4 linked regions of the Neodiprion lecontei genome follow. The protein of the gene in region 1 binds, or shares a complex with, the protein of each later gene. Links are inferred from orthologs where the notes say so. Each region holds a gene or a part of one and is shown on either strand. Other genes may lie near its edges.

The links.
Region 2: the proteins of origin recognition complex subunit 3 (region 1) and origin recognition complex subunit 4 are in contact, whole or in part, in a crystal structure (PDB 4XGC), measured with the Drosophila melanogaster proteins. The link is inferred for Neodiprion lecontei from reciprocal best matches to the Drosophila melanogaster genes Orc3 and Orc4. Residues at the interface, in NP_476904.1 of Drosophila melanogaster: Ala217, His250, Gly251, Leu253, Pro254, Tyr255, His256; in NP_477320.1 of Drosophila melanogaster: Lys395, Glu398, His399, Ile402, Lys419, Lys422.
Region 3: the proteins of origin recognition complex subunit 3 (region 1) and origin recognition complex subunit 2 are in contact, whole or in part, in a cryo-EM structure (PDB 7JK6), measured with the Drosophila melanogaster proteins. The link is inferred for Neodiprion lecontei from reciprocal best matches to the Drosophila melanogaster genes Orc3 and Orc2. Residues at the interface, in NP_476904.1 of Drosophila melanogaster: Gly10, Cys11, Phe12, Val13, Tyr14, Lys15, Asn16, Ala18, Thr19, Arg20, Ser38, Leu39, Leu40, Tyr50, Tyr53, Arg54, Asn106, Pro108, Arg135, Asp136, Ala142, Arg177, Arg180, Asp308, His312, Gln316, Lys319, Tyr320, Met323, Phe327; in NP_731873.1 of Drosophila melanogaster: Ala331, Ile332, Lys342, Met344, Cys345, Ile346, Leu347, Asn348, Glu349, Phe351, Tyr356, Leu358, His369, Lys375, Thr377, Val378, Leu379, Val380, Val381, Asn382, Phe385, Asp392, Ser396, Asp400, Ile401, Leu402, Asp403, Asn410, His412, Glu413.
Region 4: the proteins of origin recognition complex subunit 3 (region 1) and origin recognition complex subunit 5 are in contact, whole or in part, in a crystal structure (PDB 4XGC), measured with the Drosophila melanogaster proteins. The link is inferred for Neodiprion lecontei from reciprocal best matches to the Drosophila melanogaster genes Orc3 and Orc5. Residues at the interface, in NP_476904.1 of Drosophila melanogaster: Ile105, Gln107, Leu140, Lys141, Val144, Cys183, Thr184, Met185, Lys186, Gln187, Glu213, Cys214, Asp222, Leu225, Ile226, His230, Ala243, Thr244, His250, Tyr255, Ser258, Ser259, Arg262, Leu263, Ala270, Pro272, His302, Ile303, Leu305, Tyr306; in NP_477132.1 of Drosophila melanogaster: Ile72, Glu73, Tyr75, Ile79, Glu82, Asp86, Asp94, Arg130, Tyr291, Met292, Arg293, Ile294, Glu295, Leu319, Glu320, Leu321, Pro322, Tyr323, Tyr324, Ala325, Asp383, Leu386, Ala387, Tyr390, Val397, Leu399, Thr400, Cys401, Asn402, Leu403.

What each region holds. Positions count from the first base shown.
Region 1 is NC_060262.1:25,317,330-25,325,078, forward strand, and holds the start of origin recognition complex subunit 3, read left to right. Parts: upstream 1-1,722; 5' UTR 1,723-1,924; coding exon 1,925-1,948; intron 1,949-3,110; coding exon 3,111-3,242; intron 3,243-3,366; coding exon 3,367-3,478; exon of another isoform or gene 3,479-3,482; intron 3,483-3,586; coding exon 3,587-3,741; intron 3,742-3,991; coding exon 3,992-4,146; intron 4,147-4,706; coding exon 4,707-4,815; intron 4,816-4,971; coding exon 4,972-5,136; intron 5,137-5,627; coding exon 5,628-5,819; intron 5,820-5,909; coding exon 5,910-6,026; intron 6,027-6,871; coding exon 6,872-7,159; intron 7,160-7,749.
Region 2 is NC_060263.1:16,666,660-16,671,779, forward strand, and holds origin recognition complex subunit 4, read left to right. Parts: upstream 1-1,978; 5' UTR 1,979-2,141; intron 2,142-2,357; 5' UTR 2,358-2,394; coding exon 2,395-2,610; intron 2,611-2,718; coding exon 2,719-3,045; intron 3,046-3,111; coding exon 3,112-3,609; intron 3,610-3,681; coding exon 3,682-3,834; intron 3,835-3,893; coding exon 3,894-4,058; 3' UTR 4,059-4,595; downstream 4,596-5,120. Other genes in the region: putative ammonium transporter 3, read right to left, coding at 4,730-4,914, 4,985-5,072.
Region 3 is NC_060263.1:6,987,602-6,994,798, forward strand, and holds the start of origin recognition complex subunit 2, read left to right. Parts: upstream 1-1,979; 5' UTR 1,980-2,056; coding exon 2,057-2,138; intron 2,139-2,186; exon of another isoform or gene 2,187-2,324; intron 2,325-2,502; coding exon 2,503-2,634; exon of another isoform or gene 2,635-2,759; intron 2,760-2,839; coding exon 2,840-3,040; intron 3,041-3,156; coding exon 3,157-3,419; intron 3,420-3,545; coding exon 3,546-3,760; intron 3,761-3,901; coding exon 3,902-4,034; intron 4,035-4,108; coding exon 4,109-4,349; intron 4,350-4,590; coding exon 4,591-4,824; intron 4,825-4,971; coding exon 4,972-5,174; 3' UTR 5,175-5,182; intron 5,183-7,197. UniProt on the Drosophila melanogaster protein: Component of the origin recognition complex (ORC) that binds origins of replication. DNA-binding is ATP-dependent, however specific DNA sequences that define origins of replication have not been identified so far.
Region 4 is NC_060262.1:27,787,901-27,792,331, forward strand, and holds origin recognition complex subunit 5, read left to right. Parts: upstream 1-1,805; 5' UTR 1,806-1,807; coding exon of another isoform or gene 1,808-1,912; intron 1,913-2,353; 5' UTR 2,354-2,515; coding exon 2,516-3,829; 3' UTR 3,830-3,910; downstream 3,911-4,431. Other genes in the region: protein SDA1 homolog, read left to right, coding at 1,637-1,723, 1,808-1,912, 4,152-4,250, 4,321-4,431. UniProt on the Drosophila melanogaster protein: Component of the origin recognition complex (ORC) that binds origins of replication. DNA-binding is ATP-dependent, however specific DNA sequences that define origins of replication have not been identified so far.

The sequences.
Region 1 (7,749 bases):
TAACTCCTGATACAAATCAGAACACTATTTGACCATCAAATCCCGGCATTATCTGTTAGACGGATTTACCTATCTTTCGGCGAGGAAGGAAATATTCAAAGAAAAAGTTTTTGTAAACATTAAATTTGCACGTAAATTAAAGAGCGGAAAAAGAGTATAGCGAGAGGGCGGAATTCACCCCTGAGAGAGAGTCTTACATTGCTTGTTTAAAATGCTACGGAGGCTCGTCGAAGCGAATTATAAAAATAATGTGGAGAGAAGTTTCTTCTCATACTTCTCTTTTCTTTTTTTTTTTTTTTGCGAGATGCGAGGCGGGACTTGTACGGGACTAAATTGAACTGTCACAAAGAAATATAAAAACGAGGCGACGCGGGATTTTGCCTCAGGGAACGGAAGCAATATATTGCTTTCAACTAGAACTTGGACAATGCTACTTAAAACGACAAATCGTCACGCAGTACGGAGAAACGAGCTTGCGATAAATTTCATCGTACACTGAATTTTCACGCGATCTATATTCGCTACTGGAATTTGCTGCGCAGTTCTCTGCATATTGCGAGTGTTCAGTATTTCGGCAGCCTGTCTAAAACTGCAACGGATGATGGCTTGTTCAATTGCCTAATGCAGGCATAACTGAGATTGCTGCATGCCCCGAGGCCACGTTATATGAACGTCACGTAACGCGCACACGATATCAGATTATAAATACCGTACGGGTTTCGTCAGATTGTGAGAGGAGAGACCAGGGAATTGATTAAAAAATGCGCAACCGAAAAAGAAGACTGCGAAGTGGAATAATGCAACGTATGCGAATTGAAAATTTTGCATATTTTGCACGTGAACAAAATTTCAACGCATAGATGTACGGTTAGAAATTTTCATTCCTTCTCGAGCATTCATGCTTTATGAAATACTCGATTCGTTGGTCGGTCAGGCATTTTTACCATGTTAAAAGTAAGTGTAACGAACTTGTTGCCGATTGCAAATATTATCTACCACGATATCTTTCCATATATAGATGTAAAAGGTTTTACAATTAACCGATTACTCTATAAACTCAGGACTGGTACGTACATAATTTTTCAAAAATGTACGATGAAATACATACGATATACAATAAAAAAGGTCATTTCTCTGTAATACAAATTTTTAACAAACATATTCGTATTCGTTATTGCGTTGTTTAAAATTACATGAACTGAGACTTATTCGGGTCAACGGAGTGAAGATTTATAATCTAAATTTAGATGAATAGATACCGTTAAATCCAATTGAATTTCTTCATTATCTAATCTAATCTAACCGCCAACAATTTTGTACATTTAAAAAGATCTGTAAATTCATCATCGAATCCGGATCTGAACAGATCTCTGAATCATAAATAGTTGGATCAATTTAGATGCAAGCAAAAATTGCATCCCATTGAATCTGTCAATGTTTTCCCGGATAACTAATCCCAAAATAAACGACACGAGCAATCTCACTTTCGAAACGCATTGCCAATACTACCGCCGGCGGCGCTTGCGGGAGACCAAATATCTTCGTCTCCATATCTTTCTACGTCCCAGTCGTCGAATGCCGCGCTCCATTCTTCGATGCGCCGCCTGGCGGTCGTCCTTGAAACCTCTTCCGCCATCCAAAATCCCCGTCAGCGTCCAACTTCTGGATTCCAAATGGCAGTTAGCGCTGCGTGACTTGGGACTGAGTGGCAGGCCGACAAAGCAACGAGACGCGAACATTCGTGCGCAGCCGTTGCGCAGCTCCGTTAGCGTCGGCGCAGCTCTATGACCAACCGTTATTGTACGGTTCATGTGTATACATATATAAACCGGATTCGACAGTTGATTCGATTATTTTTGTCGCACCGGTTCGCAACTGTGCAAAGACGAGAAAATCAGATGCACTGATCAATCTCCTGGCGAAAATGGACAACGTCTCTGTCTCGAAGGTACGTTATCTTGCTACCTGTTGCGCTCTCAGCGTAACCTAACCACAATGCATTTGGCATTTACGAATGTTCGTTAGGACTGTACGGAGTAGAATTGGAAATTAGAAGTATCCAATCAGGGATCGCAATTTTCATTTCTGCATTCTCAACGCGATTTCTGATTGGAGGATGATCCCTATTCCTTGTTTGTCGTGATTTCTGTGCTTTTTATCGCCTAATTGGCTAAGAAATTGAAACTAGGCTTTATTTTATTGGCAGGGATTGTACAAAGGAAGTGATAATTGGCTGATTTTTATTTTGTTATCATTTTCTGTCGTTTCGCGTTTTTTCATGGCTTGGGAATTGTTAAAATTAATTTAAATATCTGGGAATCGATCCTGTAATGTCACTTTTGACATTTCCCACCATCGAAGCACTCTCATTCGTTGACAATACTTTGCAAACTAATCAAAAAAATTGGATGGTGGGAAATGTGAAAAGTGAAATTACAGGATCGATCCCCAGATACTCGTAACGATACAAGTTTCTGAATATCGTTATGTTATATCGATATGTTATCTCGTATTTTAAGTAGCGACATTTCTATGCCGACCGTTTTCCGCAATTTTATTTTTGAAGCTGCTTGGCGGGAGAAATAGCGAAACGAAATACCTATTAGTCAATATTTCAATAAATCACCAATTTAACGTTTGTTAAAACTTTTTGTTCTTGAAAGCTGACGATTAATTATTTTATACATTATTTCACTCGGCTCCTGTTTTGCTGATTCTACGGTAGGTTCTTTTTCTAGAAAATTAATCCACCAACGCAAACTTGATTGTCGTAATTAATTTTTTTAGCTGCCAAGCGCGGTTTCAGCAAAACCTTGATATTGAATCCGTACCAATTCCTCGATGATAAATTTAATGGAAACGTAAATGGTTCTGTAAAAATTTACTCATATAATTTTGAAGAGATATATGTAGAGCGTTTCGGCTCTATTCACATCGAGTTTTCTGGCCTGGAGATTGCTAATTTTTCTACAGTTAGTTTTTACGCCCTCGTCGAGTTCGATCGGATTTTTGTTTCAATCTAATTCTCTACCGAGATTGTTTCAAACGAATGCATGTATTTTTACGACCAATAATGCAGCATAAATCAAATTTCACTATACGTGTTTTAGGGGGTTTTTGCCTTCCAAGGAAGCTATAGAATTGGCCGCGGAAAGAAAAGGCCTGGAAAAGCACCGCTGTTCAACGAATCGTGGTACAAGGCCTACAAGGAAGTTTGGTCAACCATCGAAAAGTCTACTCAGGTAGGAAAAAGGGTAAAAAGTCAGCGCAGGTGAAATGCGCTAACTTGAGGCTCATCAATTGACCGCAATTTCACGTTGCATAATTGAAGAATAAGACAAAATAAGAATCGATTACTTATTGTAGAAAATAAATTCCGACATTTTCGCAAGAATCTCGGAAGATTTGAAGTCATACGTCTCATCGATAAACTACGATGATCTGTCCGGTGAAATACCCACAGCAATTTTACTAACCGGCAAGTACGATGACAAATTTGTTCTACTTTAACGGTATAATAATTATAGGTAAAAAAAGACTCTCACCAGGTATAATAATATACACGGTTATTTTTTTTTTTTTTTAGGTGTCAATTTACCCGATCACGGGGCGCTTTTTCAAATGCTAGCCAGAAAATTCCAAGATATTACCTCACACATAGCGATTATGCAGCAGAGAGACTCCTACAGCTTGAAAAATATGATGGAAGAAACAGTCTTTCAGCTAATTAACAATTCCAGGGTAATTGATTTGGCGCGGTGTACTTTTATATTTGTGCTTCGGTTCTTTGGCCAAAGTTTACTTTCAAGTGTCCATCCTATTTATTTTATTTTTTTTTTTCCTTCGAGGGAAGCATGAAAGTATAAATTATTGATTGAATTTCGTCAAGATCGCTTTTCACTTGTTCTTTCAATTATTGTTTATAATGGCCTACAAGCCCTTCAATGAGCACTTTTCAGTTATTTCTCATGAGGTATTCATTGTTTCGCAGAATAACCGCACAGAAATACAGAAAAACCATTGCACCTCAAGTATGCTGAACGCCTGGTATCAGGAATATGGTTCAAACACACCTCTGCTCATAATCATTCCAGATTTCGAAAGTTTCTCAGCTGAAATTTTGCAAAACTTCATTCTAATACTCAGGTAAATATGCGTAGGAAGAATTTTGAACATTATACGTATTTTATTGCGATTCACTTATCCGTAAGGTAATATTTTCAATTCTGAAAGCAGTATAAAAAAAAATTCGTTATTATGTATTGGACGATTTATATGTCTTGAGTGTTCATATTTAAAAAAAAAAAAAAAATCGTCTACTGTAACTGATTCTCAACAATTAGAGAAACAAACATCGAGGTCTGAAACATTCAGAACCCGTAATTATTAAATATTTGATAGGCAAGTTTAAGTCTTTCCGACAAAGAAAAAAAACAAAATATATGGCATTAATTGATAGCATCGAATTTTACGAATTTAGTTTCCTAATTTCCTTCTTTCCGCGTCGCACGAACATTACGGTTACACTATCGATTTACTTGATGTTTTCATTGAATTGCAAATGATTTATGCATTCAAATACTTGCTAATCTGTCTGATTAGTCTGACCAATCCGATTATCCACATATTTTGTCGTTATCTACACCTGCCAGTGACTAATACTTTTTTTCACCTACGAATACCCGTTTTTTTCAATTTATTTATAGCGTTTACTCAAAAACAATCAAATTTGTTTTAATTTTCGGAGTAGCGACAGCGGTCCACGCTGCGCACAGATCGTTACCGCATCACGTCACATCGAAATTGCGAGTTCAGGCAAGACTAATTTTATTATACGGTTACACCTCGTTAAATAAATCCGCAGAATTTAATCTGCACAGTATTAATATTAATATTTCCCGAAATTGTATTTTAACGACAAATTCTCACTGAATAATAATAAAACCAGTAATAATATATCCATTACAACAGGTTTTCCAAGCTCCGTCGCAAGTGAAAAGTCTCTCAGGTGTTTTGGACGGCACGGTCCTTTCCACGGAAACCCCGTTTAAATTAACCGGGCGCGCTTTTCAGTTACTCACCGACATATTTTTATTTTATGATTTTTCCGTCAACGGTTTCCTGCAAGGCTACAAGGTACGAAAATTGCTGTATTTAATCGAGATATATCGACGGTGATGCGCGTGATGTTTGTTTTTTAGATACAAGTATGTAATTTTATTCGGCACGTGAAGCTTTTTCCTCGTTTTAACCGTCTTTGTGTATTTTTTCCATTTTCCCTTCTTTTTTTGTCAGTTGTAAAACAATTTTAAATGTATTACGCAGGCTTCGTTGAATAATTCACCACCGCACTCGTATTATAACCGGCTACGAGCATTAATCATGTTATTCGAACGTGCTTATAATTACACGTTGTGAACACGTAGTTATATAATGTATACGCCGCATAATATAACAGAGGCCTGCATTGTTATTGAATTAATATCCGAGAAACATGAAATATTTCGGCATTATGCGTAATATATATGTAGAACCTATAACACAGATACACACGTTATATGTCACAAAGAACGAAAATCTGGCGGCATTGATCGCAGTAATTTCGCAGAGCATTTTTTACTTTTCAGATGTGTATGTTTCAACATTTTTATGGAAAGAATATCAACTCGTTGTGCTGCAACGGCGATAATATCGGATCGAGAATATCCGCGTTGAGAAGCGAAGATCTGGATGAGATAAAAAAATTAAAATCGATTGCTGAATACGTTCGAAAATTGCCGGTGACAAAACGCGACTCCCTAAACGACGAAGAGTTCAAGGTATAAAACGCACCAATTTCCTTACCCCTATAAAACCATGAAATTGAATGAATTAATTACGCCTTACCCCCCTCTATCTTTCCCATACAGGAATTACTGTCTACCTTAATAAATCAGGTTCACACCTTCACTCGCACCTTTCAAATTACCCTAAAATGTTTGCATCACCTCACCTCGGATCTACCTAACGCGCCTTTGGGTAAACAAGTAAGTTTTACGCTCGACTTGCAATTTTGATTGACGATGGATCGGCGTAAGTCCGCAGAAGAGATCGATCTGTATTTATTGTTGTTTCGATTTTTTATTTTTATTTTAGTAACTATGTACACCTTTTTTCACTCACTTTTGAGGAGACAGAGCGGTTAAAAATCGGCAATGATTTTCTAATTCTTACCACAAGATAGTCGTACATTCAAGATTTGTGAAATTGTTATTAATATTAAACTGTGAAGAAATCTTTGAAAATACACAGGTTAGACAACACTGAAATTTTGAACAAAAAATTGATTATTCATTTCTAAATGTTTTAAAACTGTTGAAAATTTGAAAGTTTCACTTTGGAATGCCTCATTTTATTCAGAAGACTGTTTTCTATGAATTCACTGGAAGAGATTTTCTTTTTTCTTTCAACATTCAACTCGATGTTATCAGTTTTTTTTTTTATTGTAGTCAATATTGATACAATATTACAAAATAAAAAAATATATAACGATGCCAATGAAAAAACGATGCGCCTTTTGAATAAAATTAACTATTGCAAAGTGAAATCGAACGAGTTTACTAGATTTTCACCAATTTTGAAACGATTTCAACCCAGGCTCTGATATATCTGAGCTTTTATTTATATTTCCGGTATGTTTTGCTATCTTAAAAGAGCTCTACGAATATAATAATTGAAGAGGTACTCAATGTACGACTATATCGCGCAAAAATTAATTAATGGTACCGATTTCTGCCAGCCAACCTCCAGAAAGTCATCGTGGCCGAGTTTTTACTTGCCAGGATCTCATAGATGAATCGCTTAATAATTTTTTGCCCCGTTTCGAAATCAGCTACGAGAAGTATACGCGAAGGCTGTTAGCTGCGCCATAACCGAATCCCAAGAGTACAAGGAGTGCCTGCAATACCTGGGTTTCATATCGAAAGAAGAACTTCTGACGAAACTTGATGCGATGAAAAATATCATCGAAATCTCTACCGAGGAAAAATTGTTGGCGGATGTTAAACTTGATCTGGAAAAATACAGGGAAGTCATCAGGAATGCGAGCCCCGAAGTAACTAAAGAAAACACGGAGGTCGTCGACCCGGGTGAAAAATTAAATCGGGCCCAGCTAAAAGAGGTACGAATCGATTCGCAGTATTTCACTTCTCACCTGTTGGGTATTATTTTACACACGGAAAATTCTTGCAAAGCTCAAAGCTTCACGAATGGACCGCCAATGCAGCGGAAACAAAAACAACCCTCATATCCCAATCGTTATTGTAATATCCGAATAAAAAATGGTATACTAACGCGACTAATGGGTGTGTAATTATTGTATTCATTGACATTAATTACTCGGTTATAATACGGGTGAATACTGTTGACGAGATTATGCCGTAGGGATAATTGGAATTCTCAGTTTCGGCACACGGTTTTATAACGAGTGTATTATTATATAGTATACTAGTGTGCGATTAAAATGTCATTCGTTTCCTGGCACGCCGAGTATATACTCGTGTATATGTTCATTGATTTGTTATCAGACTCATCATTGTGTGTAATGAAACAACGATTATTATTCCGGCTTTAAAATTGAACGTCAAGCTCATTAATTGTGCGTTAATGAATTTGGTCCACAAATTAAGCAAATCCCTGCGGGTTGTACCCGTAAATCTGCTGTCAGGTTAGTTTATTAATTCGCTTAACAAAGCGACCAGTCATTTTAAT
Region 2 (5,120 bases), on another chromosome or scaffold:
ATGCGTTGAGTTAATATATGCAGATAGATCGTAACAATTTGGGGGAGTGATAGTGAAAGGTTCAAGCTTGGTATCCCCACTCGCCATCCGCTCGATTAGCACAAAGGAATGTATTCGAAGTATGTCGAAAATATTATTTTTCGCTCTGGGGAGTAAAACTATTAGCGTGAAAGTTTACGAATCGTCATCAACACTCCCAGCCTATCTAATTGTGGTGAACATCCCCAGCATATCTGATTGCGGTGTCGCCATCCGGTCGATTAGCACAAAAGAATGTATTCGAAGTACGTGGAAAATATTATTTTTCGCCTTGGGGGCAAACTGTTAGCGTGAAAGTTTACGGGTAGCGGCGGAAAATCAAAATGGTATGTCGAATGTAAAATTTTCGCCCTGGGGGTAAACTATTAGCCTGAAAGTTTACTGATCGTCATCAACATTCCCTGTCTATCTAATTGCGATGTTACCATCCGGTCGATTAACACAAAAGAATGTATTCGAAGTACGTGGAAAATATTATTTTTCGCCCTGGGGACAAACTATTAGCGTGAAAGTTTACGGGTGATGGTGAAAAAATCAAAATGGCCGCCATCAAAATGGGCGCTCGATAGCGAACGTCATAGCGAAAATCACATTATCAAACTGTCCGACGATAAAAAATCAAAATGGCTGCTCATCCGGCTAAGCAAAAATCAAAATGGCTGCTCATCCGGCTAGGAAAAAATCAAAATGGCTGTTATCAAAATGGCCGCTCGTCCGAATCAAAATACATATACAAACAAATATCGTCATAAAAAAACAAGGCCAAACTAAAGGCATAAAATACTTTACACACTATTTCCGTGAAAACTGCAAGCCCTGGTTCCACAACAAAGACCTCTCAAGAGAATGTATAGTCACGATAAACCGTTGCAGAGCGAACCACTACCACCTACGCGCCTTCCTTTTTCGCATAAATGTTACAGACAGCCCAAATTGCGACTGCGGTGAATTTGAACAAAATATTAAACACGTACTGTGGCAATGCGTATTATTTGACCAACAAAGAATAGAGTTTTTCAGCAATCTATCTAACTCTAACTTACGCCCCCCACTGAATATTGAATTAATAATTTGTAAACCTAACTTAAGCGCCTGCATCTATATTCAATGCTTTCTGAATACATGTAACCTCAAAGTATAAATTGTCAAAACTCAATACAAATAAGTATAATAACTACATCAACCATTATAAGACTATTGTAAACTAAACTTTTGTATGCAGATATAAACCCTTACAAGGGTTTCAAATGCTTAAATAAAAAAAAAACAAAAAAAACGTGTCAAATGAACGCGGGGATGTAGATTTTTACTCGTAATAGGGTACGCCAGAGAATTTTTACAGCATGGCATCTAAATTTACAAGTATCGAGACAGCGAAATTCACCGGTTCGATTTTCATTGTTACAACGCGTGGCTCGCGGTGCTGTCGAATAAAAAGTGGTCGTTAGATTATGCATACTCGAATCATCATCAACCCGGAATATCATTCTTGCATACAAATTGACAATTTACCGTATAGGAAAAGTGTCTCATCAGAATTGGATGCAGACTATTTGCGGAAGATTTCGGGGCTAGGTGCCGAGCTCACGAGCTGAAAGATGGAATGCCTAGAGGAGATACATGGAATGAACACACTTTGTGCATCTGAAAGGGGACCCTCGGACATGGTTTCAATGGATTGCAGGTATGTTGTAGAGGTATTTGCCCCAAGTTTTGTCACTAGGATAACGGGAATTTATGCACTGTGGCTTGGTTTCCGAGAAAATCGATGGCTTACTAAATATCAATAACAAACATTGATTTAGAAAGTTTTTTTTCAAATTGCGAATCCGTCAGGGCGCAGCGTCTGATGCGCTGTTTGAATAAAACAAGCAATGCGATCAACGTTACCGACGGACGTTACTCAATTTTCCCGAAATGGTTACGGATCTTTCAAGGGTCGTGATCACAGCTCGGGCAGTAAACTGGGCGAAAGTGTTTGTGTTTGGATCTGTGAATTGTAAACATTTAACCGTGTCAGCCTGCCGAGTGCGGTGAAGTTCTCGTTTTTTAAATCCAATAAGTTGAAATAAAATTCTCCCTGAACTGTGAATTTTTTCACCGTAAGTATACAAAATTCTGTCTTATTTTAGTCGACACTATTTCTTGGTAATCGGATTGCGATTTTTATTCATCATTTTTTCACCAACGATTATCGCACCGCACGCAACCGTCATAACCTAAACGTTTATTTAATCGTCCGTACGGATAAATGAATGTTATAAAACTAATCGCACGAATAACGGGCTAAAAATGTTGTAATCATTATCTTTCGATAGTGAAAGAAATCAAACTCAGAAACAAACAAGAATAATTATGAGCAAAAAGCAGAACATGGCTATAGATTTCCACGACAATATGATACTACTGACCAGAAAGTATCTGAAGCGAAAAATCATGTGTCCAGAAACAAAGTTCAGGCATCACGTCAAGGAGCGAGTACATATTCTGGATTTGTTGAAAAGGACCGTTGAAAACGGCGAGAGCAATTCGGCCTTACTGATCGGTCCCAGAGGATGTGGAAAAACCACGGTAAGATGTGGCCAAAAACATGTATGCAAATATCGGAGACTAAAAGACACAAGAGTAACGCAAAGTAGCCTGTAAATCTTTACAAAACGTATCTTTCATTGAATTTAGCTCATCAACAGCGTACTGAAAGAGCTGTCGTCGTTAAAATCATTCAAAGATGAAGCACTTGTCGTGAACTTGCATGGTTTAGTTCATACGGATGATCGTCTTGCGCTCAAAGACACCACACGTCAGATGCAGCTGGAAAACGCAGTCGGTGACAAAGTATTTGGCACGTTCGCAGAGAACTTGAGCTTCCTTCTTGAATGTCTCAAGTCTGGGGACAAGACTCAGTCCAAGCCGGTAATTTTTATTCTGGACGAGTTCGACCTGTTTTGCGCCCACCGAAACCAGACTCTGCTCTACAATTTGTTCGACGTTGCGCAATCTGCACAGGTGAGCATCACGCAAGAAATAAAACAATAGTTATATATATCCCTCGTTGTCCTCAATTTTGTCCAGGCCCCGATATGCGTGCTTGGAATCACCTGCAGGCTTGATGTTATCGAACTTTTGGAGAAGCGTGTCAAGTCCAGGTTCTCACATAGACAGATATTCCTTTTTCCGGGCGACACATCTGGCTCAGATCAACCCACCTCAGCTTTTGACGATCGTCTCAAGTTGTTCCAGCACCTCCTCAGTCTGCCTGATGACGAAAATGTAAACGAAACCGATCAGCAGTACGAGGATTGTAAAATAAATCCGCAGTTCGGCGCCAGATGGAACGAGTACATAAAAAGTCTGACCGAAAACATGACTATGGTCAATTTTTTGAAGAGAATGTACCAGCTGGATGTCAGCGAGAGGAGTTTCAGAAACTTTTTGGCCCTCGTTATATCGTCGCTGTCCGAAAAACATCCGAAATTAGAAGTGAATGATTTCGTTGAGGCTAATAAGTTCTTCCATCAGGACGACAAGGTTCTCACCCTTCAAGGGTTGTCTGTTCTAGAATTGTGCCTGGTGAGAATTTCACCTTCGAACGAAGGGACGCGAGTCTGTTGAATTTCCGATTTTATCCACCTCTTTTTGCAGATTATCGCCATGAAACATCAGACTGAAATATACGACGACGAGCCGCTGAATTTCGAAATGGTTTTAAACAGATACGTCAAGTTCGCTAATCAGAATTCGTCTATTCAAACCGTCCAGCGACCTGTGATCATGAAGGCTTTCGAGCACATCAAGGTGAGCATCAATGTGCCATTTATACTCCCATTATAGATAACGGATGATTGAAATTACAGAATTTGGAGCTGATTCAGCCTGTTGGAGGGCCGAACACACGAGTTGAGAAGGAGCATCAGCTCTATAAGTTTTCACTCGGTTGGCAGCAGATAGCCGATGCCGTTAAAAACTATCCCGAGCTTCCGACTGAAGTTTCCCAATGGGCGGTCAGCAGTTTACAATAGAAAATCCGTGCATTTAACTAACTTTAATGAAATGTGTTAAACTTGAACAGTTCTTTGACAATAGGATTGTTGTTTCGTTTTATTTTACATTTTTTTCCCTTCGTATTGAACGACGTTCCCGTTACCAGTATTCATAGGGTTTTACGTGCAACCCTTATTATTGTATTCGATAGATAAATATGAAACATGCGTAGAGTTTCTAGTTCTATACTTATATTTAATTATGTTGGTTATACCTTGAAATTGTAGACTAATTGTGTAGCCAATATTTTATTATTATTAGTACTACTGTAAAGTCTAGGCGAAAAAATGAATTACGCGATTAACAGATCTCGTCTCTTGATTATCTCATTGTATTATTTATCTCTTACGTACATGTATTTTTCAAGTTCAAAGCTTTAATTTATTTATTTACACTATTTATTTGCATTTCGGAAAACACGAGAAAACAAAATGAAAAAGGAAACTAGAGAAGGCAGAACAAAGAGTAAGAGAAAAAAAAAAAATAAAAAAACGTGTGGATTGTATATTTACTCAGTAATAAGACGTGTTTGTATTTCTATTTATACAAAAGTTTCTATAATATAAATTTATACATTGAAAAACGATGTAAAGTGAAAATCTTATCTTGTTTTTACGTGTTTACTTGTTTCATCCATCACACCTCGTTTTTACTCAATCCACGACAACTTTGGAGTCTCTTTGCCCTTCAATGATTTTTTTAAAAGATCCTTCACCCCGGATTGTATTCGGTTGTTTTTCAAACCAGTCACTTTTCCCGGACTGCGCGCCATTAATTTCTTCAGCTTTTGGGCTCTCTGGCTGCGGTTGTATCTCTCCAAGTACGATTCGTGCCCTGTGGAATCGAGTTGATAAATTTTTATCAATTCCCCCTCTTAAATGCAACACGATAAAAAATATCAAACCTGGGTTGAATCCTATTTTCAAAACATTCTCCAGTCGAATTTGATCCGGGAATGGACGAAGCGCGGAAACCGCTCTGCTCACTCCCACCTGAAAATTAAATTGAAACGTATGCGTTAAAATTCACACGCGCGAAAT
Region 3 (7,197 bases), on another chromosome or scaffold:
ATGAATTGTTAAGCTTGTGCTATCGAAAGATCGAAGGTTATGTATACTTTAGAAGTAATATACAAACAAATCGTTTTGTCTTAATCAATGAAATTCCTGAGAAAACGAGTTGTTAAAAACTAACAAATGATAAGTTCTATGTTTGATGCGCATATATTTCATAGCATGAGTTTTTGAATGAAAAGTTCAATGGTCAATGGACATTGAGTATCTGATACGTCACAATGGAACAGTATGAAGGATTGATGGATACAATGGAACAGTGTTCAGTTAGGTTTCAGATTCTCCGACGCTTAATATTTCTACTAACAAACTGTGAATGTTCATGAGGTATCTTCTTTTTTTGTCCTTTGTGATTTTGAATTCGCTGAGTATTTCGGTACGGATATTTTCTGCGGAATAAGAGATACAGTAATTCATTAAAGTAAAATATATTTGAAATACAGTGTTCAATATACTTATGAAATATATTCAATTTATAAATTTTATTCGTAGTCATTTTTATTTTAAGTTTACTTTTATGCATATTTTACGTCACGATCTATCTTTTTTAAGTAATATAATATTCATTTTACAAGGATTGTTCAGTTGGGTGAACAAAATTGATGTACATCTATTCGTTGCAAATTCTTGTACCTATGGAATCAATGTAGATATACATATTAGATTGCAGCATACTTTCCGAATTACTGTACTAGAATTGCATGATTATTTGAATATTTAGCTAGGGCAAATGGGATTAGTAAATTCTTGTATTCGGTATTTACTCAATACAAATGTTAAGAACTTTGTTAAATGACAAAGATATATATATATATGGTTGTGTTGGAATTTTACAACTTGAAATGTACACGTCTGCATTTTAACATTTAACAACCAAAAACAAATAAGCAGAATAGTGTTTAGCACATTCTATAAAAGTACATAATACAATGTTAAAAGTCGTGGAAGTCAAAATGACTGCACTAATATCTACATCACTGTAACAAATTTTGCAAAAATGAACTGTGTTTGAAGTTATCAAACTGGCATGTAAAGGATCTTCAGTTGATTGATTGTTCCATTTTTTATACTTTACAAAATTTTTGGACAATCATTATTGGTGATTGCAAGCGATGAGTCCTTTCGCGTTTAATTATTTATTAAAATCATACACAGGTATCGATCTCAGTTGAAAAGTGTCGGGAGTATATAATTGTCTTTTGAATTTGAATTTATGTAAGTGGTCTCTCTTTCTCTCTCTCTTTATTATTTTAATACCTACAACATCATGTATGTAATAAAATAATACTTGTAAATTAACAATCACGTTTATTAATTTACAACACCTATGTCATTCAATTTCATTTATAGACCCTGTTTAAAAAGAACATGTGTATAGATTTCTGGGAGTTTGCATTACGATAACGTTATGATGGTACATAACTTTGTACCTCATGTGAAAGATGGAATGAATCACAATAAAAACTTTATTTTTGAACAATCAATTGATGTATTTATTTGAAAATGAACATGATATAATTATTTTTAAAATTATTTCTTAGAACACCGTTGAATTAAAAATTACAGTAAATGAGAAATATATTCTTAAAAACTTCCAACCTTTAATTCAATGTTTAAAAATACATGATTATTTCTTTTACTTAATATTTATACAGTTTGCGAAAAAATTACATACACATGTATTGGCAACGGGATTTTTGAAGTAAATTCAAGTAGCGTCGTCAGAGAAATTCGAAAATTTACCAATCACTCGATGCAAACAAAAAAACGTCTCGCCTCGCGATTTGAATATGGCGCGTAGAGTTTACAAAATGGCGACGATCGGCCTCTTTTATTTGCAGGCCCTGCAACTAGAAACAGACCTGCACTATGATTGGTGGCTTCTAGCCATCCCAACGATGTAATTGGCTCACAAGAAATATAGGCATGTACACGTTATTCCCGCTCTTATGTTATATCACGTGGTGTATCAGTGCTACCCTCATAAGCATTATTCATTTACCGACTCCGTCTGGAGCAGAAATTTGATTCTTCTGCAAACAAATATTTCCCGATGGCCGAACGCAGCATAAATTTGCGACGTTCTACCCGATTAAAAACATCTTCGAAGCAAGCAACAGAGGATTCTACAAAAGGTTTAATACGGGGAAACAGTCAATAATATATCTCAGCAACAAGCCAACGATTTAAATCAATTGTCAAACGTTCTGCCGTTTGTTATTGTTTTCAACACGTTGAACTACCGACTTAGATCGGTTCATTTTCACAATATTGCTGCATGATTATAAGCGAAAATTATTTCGTCGACGCTGTTTTAAACTGTAAGATTAGACACGTGTTGAGAAAAGATGTATTGAGTTTAGGTGACATATAGAATTCTGCATTGCTGAAATTACAGCCCTGGAAGAATACTTTTCATTTATTATAGATAGATGCTTTTCACTAGGGATTCCCAAATTTTATGTGTGCAGATACATTATAGTCACGTTTGTATTACAGGAGTGCAACGGAAAAGGAGAAGCCGCAAGATTAGTTCTAGCAGTAGTGATGGGGAACAAACTCCGGATGAGCTGGCTAGAGAGTTGGAAGATGAATTGAAAATTATTGACGAAGATGTACAGAAGCCAACAGGTAATCAACTTTGACGTAACTCATTAATGCAGGAACAGTAACTCTGGTGAATTTGAGAATTATTCGGATTATTTTCGCAAAAAGTTCACGAGCACAGTCGTAATATTTGTATAATATGACAACCTGTAAGTAGTATGGACAGTACTTTTCATCAACCGATAATAGAACATTTTTGCATATATATTTCTTGTTTTATGTTTCCCAGAATTATATACCGAAGAACAAGATGTCAGTGGTGCCAGCATGTATCATTTTCCAACACCTTCTAAAAGTGGAGCAATGGCTCAAAAAGCTGCCCTCAGCCGATCAGCAGCCACTCCTCAGACACCGAAGCATGCTGCTAAGCAAAAAAATGTTACAGATACTGCACAAACCCCGCACAGTGTTCGTAACAAATTCAAGAAACGTGAGTATCATATAACTCGTTATTACCCTTGTTGCCATCGTCTTTTCAAGTTAATGTGGGGGTACTCTCATTTCGAAGAGAAACATTGAATATTAAATGCTTGTATCAATGTTTAGAATTGGTCTCTCTTGCTCGTAATATATCTGGCGAATCATCCAGTGAGAGTGAAAGTGTTTCTGAAGAGAACGAATATGTGCCATCAGTTGATGAGGAATCTGATGATAGTGAAGAGGGAGAAGAAGTAAAAAGTTCTGAAGGTTCGGAGAGTGATGTAGAAGATAACAAAAAGCAAATCAGAAAAACACCTGCAAAGGTTGCTCCTTCACGTTTATCAACTTCTAAACCAAAACGGAATACACGTGTCACTTACACCGATTACGTGAGTTTCATATTCTGTCTTTAATGAAAGGAAGCTGGCTAAGTTGTTATTTCGTCCTTTGTAAGTGGCAGACTTTTTGATATATGATTTATATTTTTATAGTACACATGAATAAAATTGTTACAGCACCTGGAAACGGATGATTACTTCGAAATGCAATCGGAAAAGGTTTTAACTTCCGATCGAACCTTAGGAAGGCTGGTGAACCCACGAATGGATGAAGAAAAATTGCAAAAATTATTATCCAAGCAGAGCTTTGTTTCTAAAGAACATAAAGAAGCCATCAGGTCACTCTCAAGGGACTACAGAGCTTTGTTTCCAATGTGGCACTGCATATTGGAGTAAATAAAATAATTATGCACTATTCTTCAATGTTTTACGAAATATTTTAACTAAACAAGAACAATATTTCTAGTAGATCGCTTATGATTATCACATGCTTTTATGAGATAATCGAAATTGAAGTTTTTTTTTCCTTTCAGAGAAGGCTACAGTCTGTTACTTCACGGTTTGGGATCAAAAAGGATTTTGATGAATGATTTTCATAAAGAAATTCTGTCTGATCATCCTACACTTGTTGTGAACGGTTTTTTCCCCAGTCTTACGTTGAAAGAGGTGAATCAGTTATCACCGTTGGTGTACCAGACTCGTGTATTTTTCCTTATTGACCAATTAATTTATTTCCAAAGATACTGGATGGTATAACAACCGATCTTCTGGGGCTGCAGAGTCCGACGAATCCAAACGAATGTCTAAGCTTGATCGAAAGTACCCTCAGAGAGAATCCCGAGGATCGGCTTTACTTGTTAGTGCATAATATTGACGGAGTAATGCTCCGCTCCAATAAGGCCCAAGATACTCTCTCGATTTTAGCTAGCATTCCAAATCTTTCACTCATTGCTTCCGTCGATCACATTAATACACCTCTCAGTAAGTTTCATTACTCATAAACTTTGAATTCATTTTATTTGGCATATTATAAAATCATCAGTAAGCAACTATTCGAATTTGCGAATCGAAATTGAATAGTACACAAAGGTAACAGTAAATTTCCCCTCTTTGGTATGACGTTTTTCTGCATATGTCTTACTTGAATGCCTTTCACTAATTTAACTGAAATATCAACTTGATAGATGTCGAGTACAATTATGAACATTCCATGATTTTTCAGTATGGGACAACGTAAAGCATTCACGGTATAATTTCTGTTGGTGGGATGTAACAACAATGTTGCCATATGATGCAGAGACGTCTTTTGAGAGCTCGATTATGGTACAGAAGAGTGGAGCGCTCGCCCTCTCCTCTCTACTCAATGTTTTTCTCTCCCTGACTTCGAACGCACGTGCTATTTATGTGCTTCTCATTAAACATCAACTAGAACACGCAACTAGCGACAACTATCCTGGTCAGTCTTTGTGTTTAATTACTTATCCCGTGATTTGTATCTGCATCTATTCTGCAATATTCGAACGAAATTATAATCGTTGAGACGATGACGTATATATTCATCTTTTAACTAGCTAATAATAAATCTTTATTTTTCTCTATTAAGGTATGCTATTGAAGGATCTCTACTCGAACGCACGTGAGGCTTTCCTTGTTAGTTCAGACACGGCTCTCAGGGCTCAATTAACTGAGTTCATAGATCACAAACTAGTGCGTTCCAAGCGGAATTATGATGGTGCAGAGTATCTCAGTATCCCGCTGGATAATACGTTACTAAAACAATTCCTTGATCAGCAAGAAACTGCGTAACGAATTTGGTGATTTACTTTCCAATTTTTCTAACTTGTGCATAGTGCCTTAGTAACGATAATTCACATATACGCATCATTCATAAGCTCAGTAAACAAAAATTCGTATAGTCGATTTTCTTCATTGGAATTACTCAGTTTTAAAATCAATTTTATTCTTTATAGCCATTCGTTCTCAATAACACACATTAATGTATGTACATAGGTTTCACTCGTATTACGTAGTTCCGTAAGCGTTAAATTATGTATATTAGTCGTTTATTTTTTTCCTTCTTAATCCGGCGTGATTTCGCGAAAAAATTCTTGATGAAATAATTTGATATTTGTATTTGTGATTTTCAGTAACTTTAAAGCAACTCTCTTCTTTCGGTTTTACGTGTAACGAGCAAAAATTTTAGTTTATTGTTGTGAGAAATGCTATGTGATGTTATGATGTTGAACATTTCGTCTTTCGCCCCGAAATTCGTCCGCAGGCTTTCACTTATTTGAAATTCAACCATCAGGTGTCTCACAAATGAAAAGCAAATCGGAGAAAAACGTGTTTGTCTTATTACTTAGCTAACAATTTTGAGCGAGATAGGAAAACGCGTCTAACCATACGTCATTATTACGGCAACTGCAGGGAATTAGGATTGAAAACGGCAAATCGTATTTCTAAGTGACCGAATTGTAGACCCATGAATTGACGTTCTAAATCCAAACACTGTTACCACCAGTCCGTTAATTTTATCTTCGCCTGAATTGGTTCTTAAATCCAAAGTCAAAATAATCTACAACAAAAATAAACGTAACTACTTCAATTTACGTATTGTCTATGAATAATGCTGTGTTCAATCAATGCTTTATTTTGATGCTATTCAACGGCATTTCAGTATATCAGGACAAATTTCGGTTTCAAGAAAATCGCGATTTCGGTACTATCTGCGTATACGTATGATCACATTTGGCTATTTCGGCACAAGATGACGGGATATGTTGTCCAGTAAGTACCGCCATCTGGTGTGCAGTGAATTTGAAGTGTGCGCGGTAAAAACAAAATACAAACACCTTTTAACAGTGCAGCCAAAGCATAGGTTTGAAAACGAGTTAATTTTGAAAATCCTTCGTCCGTGAGAATAGAATCCGAGTTAATTCGGTCGCGAGGAGGATTAAAAACGTTTGCAACAAAAGCGGGAGTGTAATCGCCGGTTTCAAAGTCCTCAGAGCGTGTAAGAATCGTGGTAAACGTCCGTATTTTCTCGGTGTTGGTAACGCTCGGTAGAATCCATAGTCGCATTCGGTGTTTCTGAGTAAATTGTGCGTGTGTGATAAGACGGTTCTCGCTCCTTAGAGTATATTTATTAATTACCATAAACACATACAGTCTGAAATGTCAAATGCCTCGATTGGTTTGAGGTGAATTGCGTTTAACTCCGAGTGATACTAAAACCGCGAAGTTATTCCTCGTCCCTCACCCTCCGAATCACCGTAATTACGAAAGGTGAGTACTTTACGCATATCTATTCGTACATACGTTCGTTCGTCCGTAATGCAAAGAAAAAAAAAAGAAGGATGAGAGATGGTAGACAAATCACACATACAGATAGACAGAAACGATTGCTAAAGATTTTCAAGGCTGCTAGCACGTACGTATCGCACTTATGTTAGTCAGTCAGTCAAAGAGGGACTCTTTGTTGCGCAGCGACTGAACAGGGTTGAACGTCCTTGACTTATCACGGGAAAATATTAATCCGTGGCCTCAGTTAACTCGGCAAACTTCACTCAGGATCACCGTTTATACTTCGTTACATTTTCTGCGTTCTCGACACTTATTTCGGCTCAGACGCAGCTTCTCGGCACGCGTAACTTCAACCTAACCTGACCTAACCCCTCCTGTTTTCCCTCTGCTTTGACCACCGACGAAATTCGAGTCCGTCAACGGCTGCATATCGAGGATTAAAGAACAAACTAACCTATCCAATCGTATCTTCACTGTCGGATAAGTATGTGAGACCGATTAGGTATGTGTGATGCTCGAGTAGGTG
Region 4 (4,431 bases), about 2.5 Mb from region 1:
GTACAATTAGAGCTAAAATTGCTGTGTGTGGTGTGTCAAATCAGTTAGCACTTAGCTGATTGTTCTGTGATATTTTTAGACGAAATTTATTGTCTTAAAATCACAATACGTTATACTTACGTGCATGTGTAAACGTGATTTGTAGCATTATATAGACAAAATCTTACGGGCAGATTCGGTTTGCGCCACATGCACAAAGACAGTGTTTATTCTGTATACTGTGAAGCAAATACCAGAATTTTTTCCAATATACCTAACATACCTAACATAAGTAGAAACATACCTAAGAAGTAAAGACGCCTAACTCTGACTATAAGCCAACCCACTTGCTTTCGAAACTGTGTGACACGCTCATCACGCCGCAGGGTAAAAATAAATCTAATTGTATTATTAAGCAATCACTAGAGATAAGGGTTAAGCTCACCAGTCAGATCATTATGTACCAAGTAGCAATAATCGAATAAGGGAAAGATTAGTGCAGTAATAAGTTTAGCCCTAAGTTTGCGCGATAGCGCATTTCGATGATGTTTGAGCCACGATACAGGGAGAAATTAACTTTTTTGGAAATTTGCATAACCTCGAACCTCGTGAACATAAGGAAGCACTGTACCATTAACCGAGATAGGGGGCAGATCCTCCAGATCGATACGATTCAGATGCGTGCCACTCCCCGTAACAAAAACCTTGGACTTATTAAGATTGTGCTTGAGGCAGTTTTCAGCCGCATAATCGGCTATGACGCCAACATCGTGTGCGATCATGGCTTAACCTTCTCCTAAATCAGATGGGTGGCAGGTTAGATAAATTTTAGTATCATCAGCAAAAATAATTCGCTTCGAATGAGCAAGCTTAGCGCCGATATCATTGATGAATAATGAGAATAGCAGAGGCCCAAGAACGGACCCCTGGGGAAGGTGGTCGAAGGTGGAAGGAGGTGGTAGGAGTTGGTAGGGGGTGGTTGGAGGTGTTAGGAAGTAGTTGGGGGTGGTTGGCGGTGGACGCGGTTACGCGTCTTTTCGCGGGGATAATTGAGTTGATCGACATTTCTAAGTGGACATCAGGTACTCACTCTGTACCGACTCAATCTCAAGCTTCCATACGGACACTACTTTGGCTGCTACGAATGTCGGTGCGAGCCCGTTAGGTAGAGTCGATAGAGAGACCCTCCTACGCTCCCAGGCCCACCTGCGGCCACTTGCCCGCCGAAAATTGGTCACAAAAATTTACACAGGGGTATCCGTCTTTATGTTCTTCAGTTAACGTCTGTGTGTTTGATGATGGTTTGATGCGGGACCCCGTCATCTTTCATCTTTGGATGCCTATGGCGGGAACGTCGTTCGGTTTTGCAATCAGCGTCACAGACAATTTGTAGGTTATGTTCAGCGCTGGTTAGCACAACGACGCATCAAACGTGCACGTGCTATTTCAAAACGTCTAGATATCGTTTGGATGGTTGCAAATAAATAATAAACTTGTAAGTACTCAGAAATGAACGACTTTCCATGAATATGTGGAAACAGTGTACACATTTGGGTGAATCATCGACTCAACTCTGAATATTCTGTTTGGTTAAAAATATGATTATAACCTCCAAATAATAATTTTCAGTATTTCGTTAATTTTTCCGCAATAAAAAATGGTACGACACAACAATCAACTACCGGACAATCTTCCTCAACTGCAAAATTTAATCAAGCGTGATCCGGAGTCATACAAAGACGAGGTAAGCTGGTATATAATATTTTGCATTGAAATAAATATATTATGCATAATGGTCTGAGATAACAATGAATGCTTGATAATCTAGTTCTTGCAACAACACCGTCATTACAAATCAACTTTGGAAGTCTTCCGACTGACGCCTGATACATTCAACAAAAGTCTCGATGAATTGGTGATTTTTCTTGCACAGGTAAGGCTGATGTTTATAGCAATCTCTACTGTAAGTCCGTCCTGTTCGCATTTTTACTACTTAAACTAGAACTTAGCTTTACACTTTAATGCTTATAAATTTATAATAAATAGTAACTATTCTCATAAGCAAAGCTTTATTAACAGCAATTATGCAGAACCACTTCTTATTACACAAAAAGACATTATTGCCCTAGACTAGTGCAATTTTCATTTGCGATAGGTGGTGTTAGGTACAACAGAACGATGTTGTTTCGAATTGGCTACATTGTAAACAGCCAGAGTCTGCACTTTATTTCTCTTAAGCAGCGGTCTGATTTTTCGATGTAACTTGACAGAACACGTTTAATTTCAATCAGAAGGATATCATTTTTTCAATTGGCATAATTATTCTCAACACCACGAAAGATAATAAACAGAATCTATTGTTATTTTCTTTCAGGTCTGAGCAGCGTTTTGTCAAGTTGCATTGGGATCAGCAGTGTTGTATTTTGAGTTGATAAAGCATAAAGACTGTTGCCGAAAGCTTTAATAGATAGTTGGAGAGTATAATTTGTACTCTTTCAATTGTTTAATAAGTGTGCTTGGACTATTAATATTAACAATGAAGAAAACTATGGAAAAATGCCTGAAATCTCTCGGACAGAAAATAATATGCAGAGACAATCTTATAAAATGCTTGTTTTCTCTAATTGGTTTTTCAGATGAGGAAATGGTGCAAAGCATTTTTGTATATGGCCATACAGCAAGTGGCAAGTCTCTGGTTATTGAATCTCTGTTGGCTTACCTTAAATATAATGTTTGCATCATCAACTGCGTTGAATGTTACAGCAGTAAACTCATCTATGAACACATTTTAAATGACTTGTCTATGCATGAAATGAATTCGAAAAATAATTTCACAGTTTACCAGAAATGCGATAACATGATGGACTTTATTACTTACCTACAAATTGCAGTACAAAACGATAAGCGTCGTATAGTTATTGTGTTTGACAAATGTGATCGGCTGCGCGATATGGATGTGAATTTATTGCCTGCACTTGTGAGGCTGCGAGAACTGACTGGTTTGGATCTTTGCACAATCTTTGTCAGTGACATTGTTTGGGAAAAGTATTACTCAAAAAATGGTTTATTGAATCCTATTAAAATTCACTTTCCACAGTACACACGGGAGGACATGTTGAAAGTATTATTTTTATACAAGCCTAAGGATTACGAGGATGGATTTTACGTGAATTACTTAAATTTATTTTTATCTGTGTTTCTTAGATGTTGTAGAGATTGTAATGAGCTACGGTACATGGCTAAAATAAATTTTGATAAATATGTTGAACCTGTTGAATCGGGTAAAATTGATAAGAATGATGTACGCTCTTTGTGGCGGAATATATCTGGAATTTTAAAATCAAATTTAGAAGTTGTTTATCTCAGAGTGTCTACTGATGATTCTGAGCAACGTACTAAATTGTGTCAAGAGATTGAATCTACAACGAAATTGGCTTTGAGCTTTGAACTGCCGTTCTATGCAAAGTACATGCTCATAGCTGCTTACTTGGCTTCTTATAATCCAGCCAAAGATGACAAACGCTTATTTGTCAAACGTAGTAGTAAAAAGAAAAGGCGAAACACTGTGACTAAAAAACCTGCCAAACTTAACACACAGTTAGGGCCAAAGGCATTTACTTTGGACAGAATGCTCGCGATATTCTACGCGATTCTTGACGAAAAAGTAGGATTGACTGCCAATCTATTGGCACAAATACCCACCATGTGTCAGTTAAGACTATTGAGCATAGTAGGTGATAATAATTTAGATGGTCCCAAATATAAGTGTTGCGTCAGCTATGATTTCATCGTTATCATTTCTAAGACAGTTGGGTTCAATGTTAGGAATTATTTGTATGATTTCATTTAATGTATGTATTTAATGTGGACTTGCCAGTTTTCATGTTTCTTTTAACTATTTTCTATGGTTAGTGGGAACATAATATTGCTGTTAAGAATATTTATTTCCATTCAATTATTTCTTTAGTTGTATTACTGTAGTAGTATCTTTTGTATTTTTTTTTTGCTATAAATAAATGTGAAATAAGATAAAGACAAAATCCTTGGAACACTTAGTTAATGATCTGACCGTTCAAGCTAGAGTATCCAAAGTATGTAACTTCAGTTCATTACTCAAAACTCATTCATTCAGAATTCGTCGTATTATGTTTGCCTTGTTTCTATCATTGTAGGTAGCTCATTGCTATTCAGAAGAGTTGACAACTTTTCCTCAAGAGCTTGTGGATATTCTGCAAACACAAAACACTGTTCTGGACACTGGAATGAGAATGGTGACCAAAGAGTATTGATGTTTGGTGTACAGGTGTGGAAGATTGCAAATTAACGCATTTCATTTTACAGACGTTCTGCAGGGCACTAATATTACTTCGAAATAAAGGACTTCTGGAGCCAACTGCACTCTTGAGCTTGTTTTTTCAGCTACTGAGATGTCAGGATAAAGCTTTAAGACAA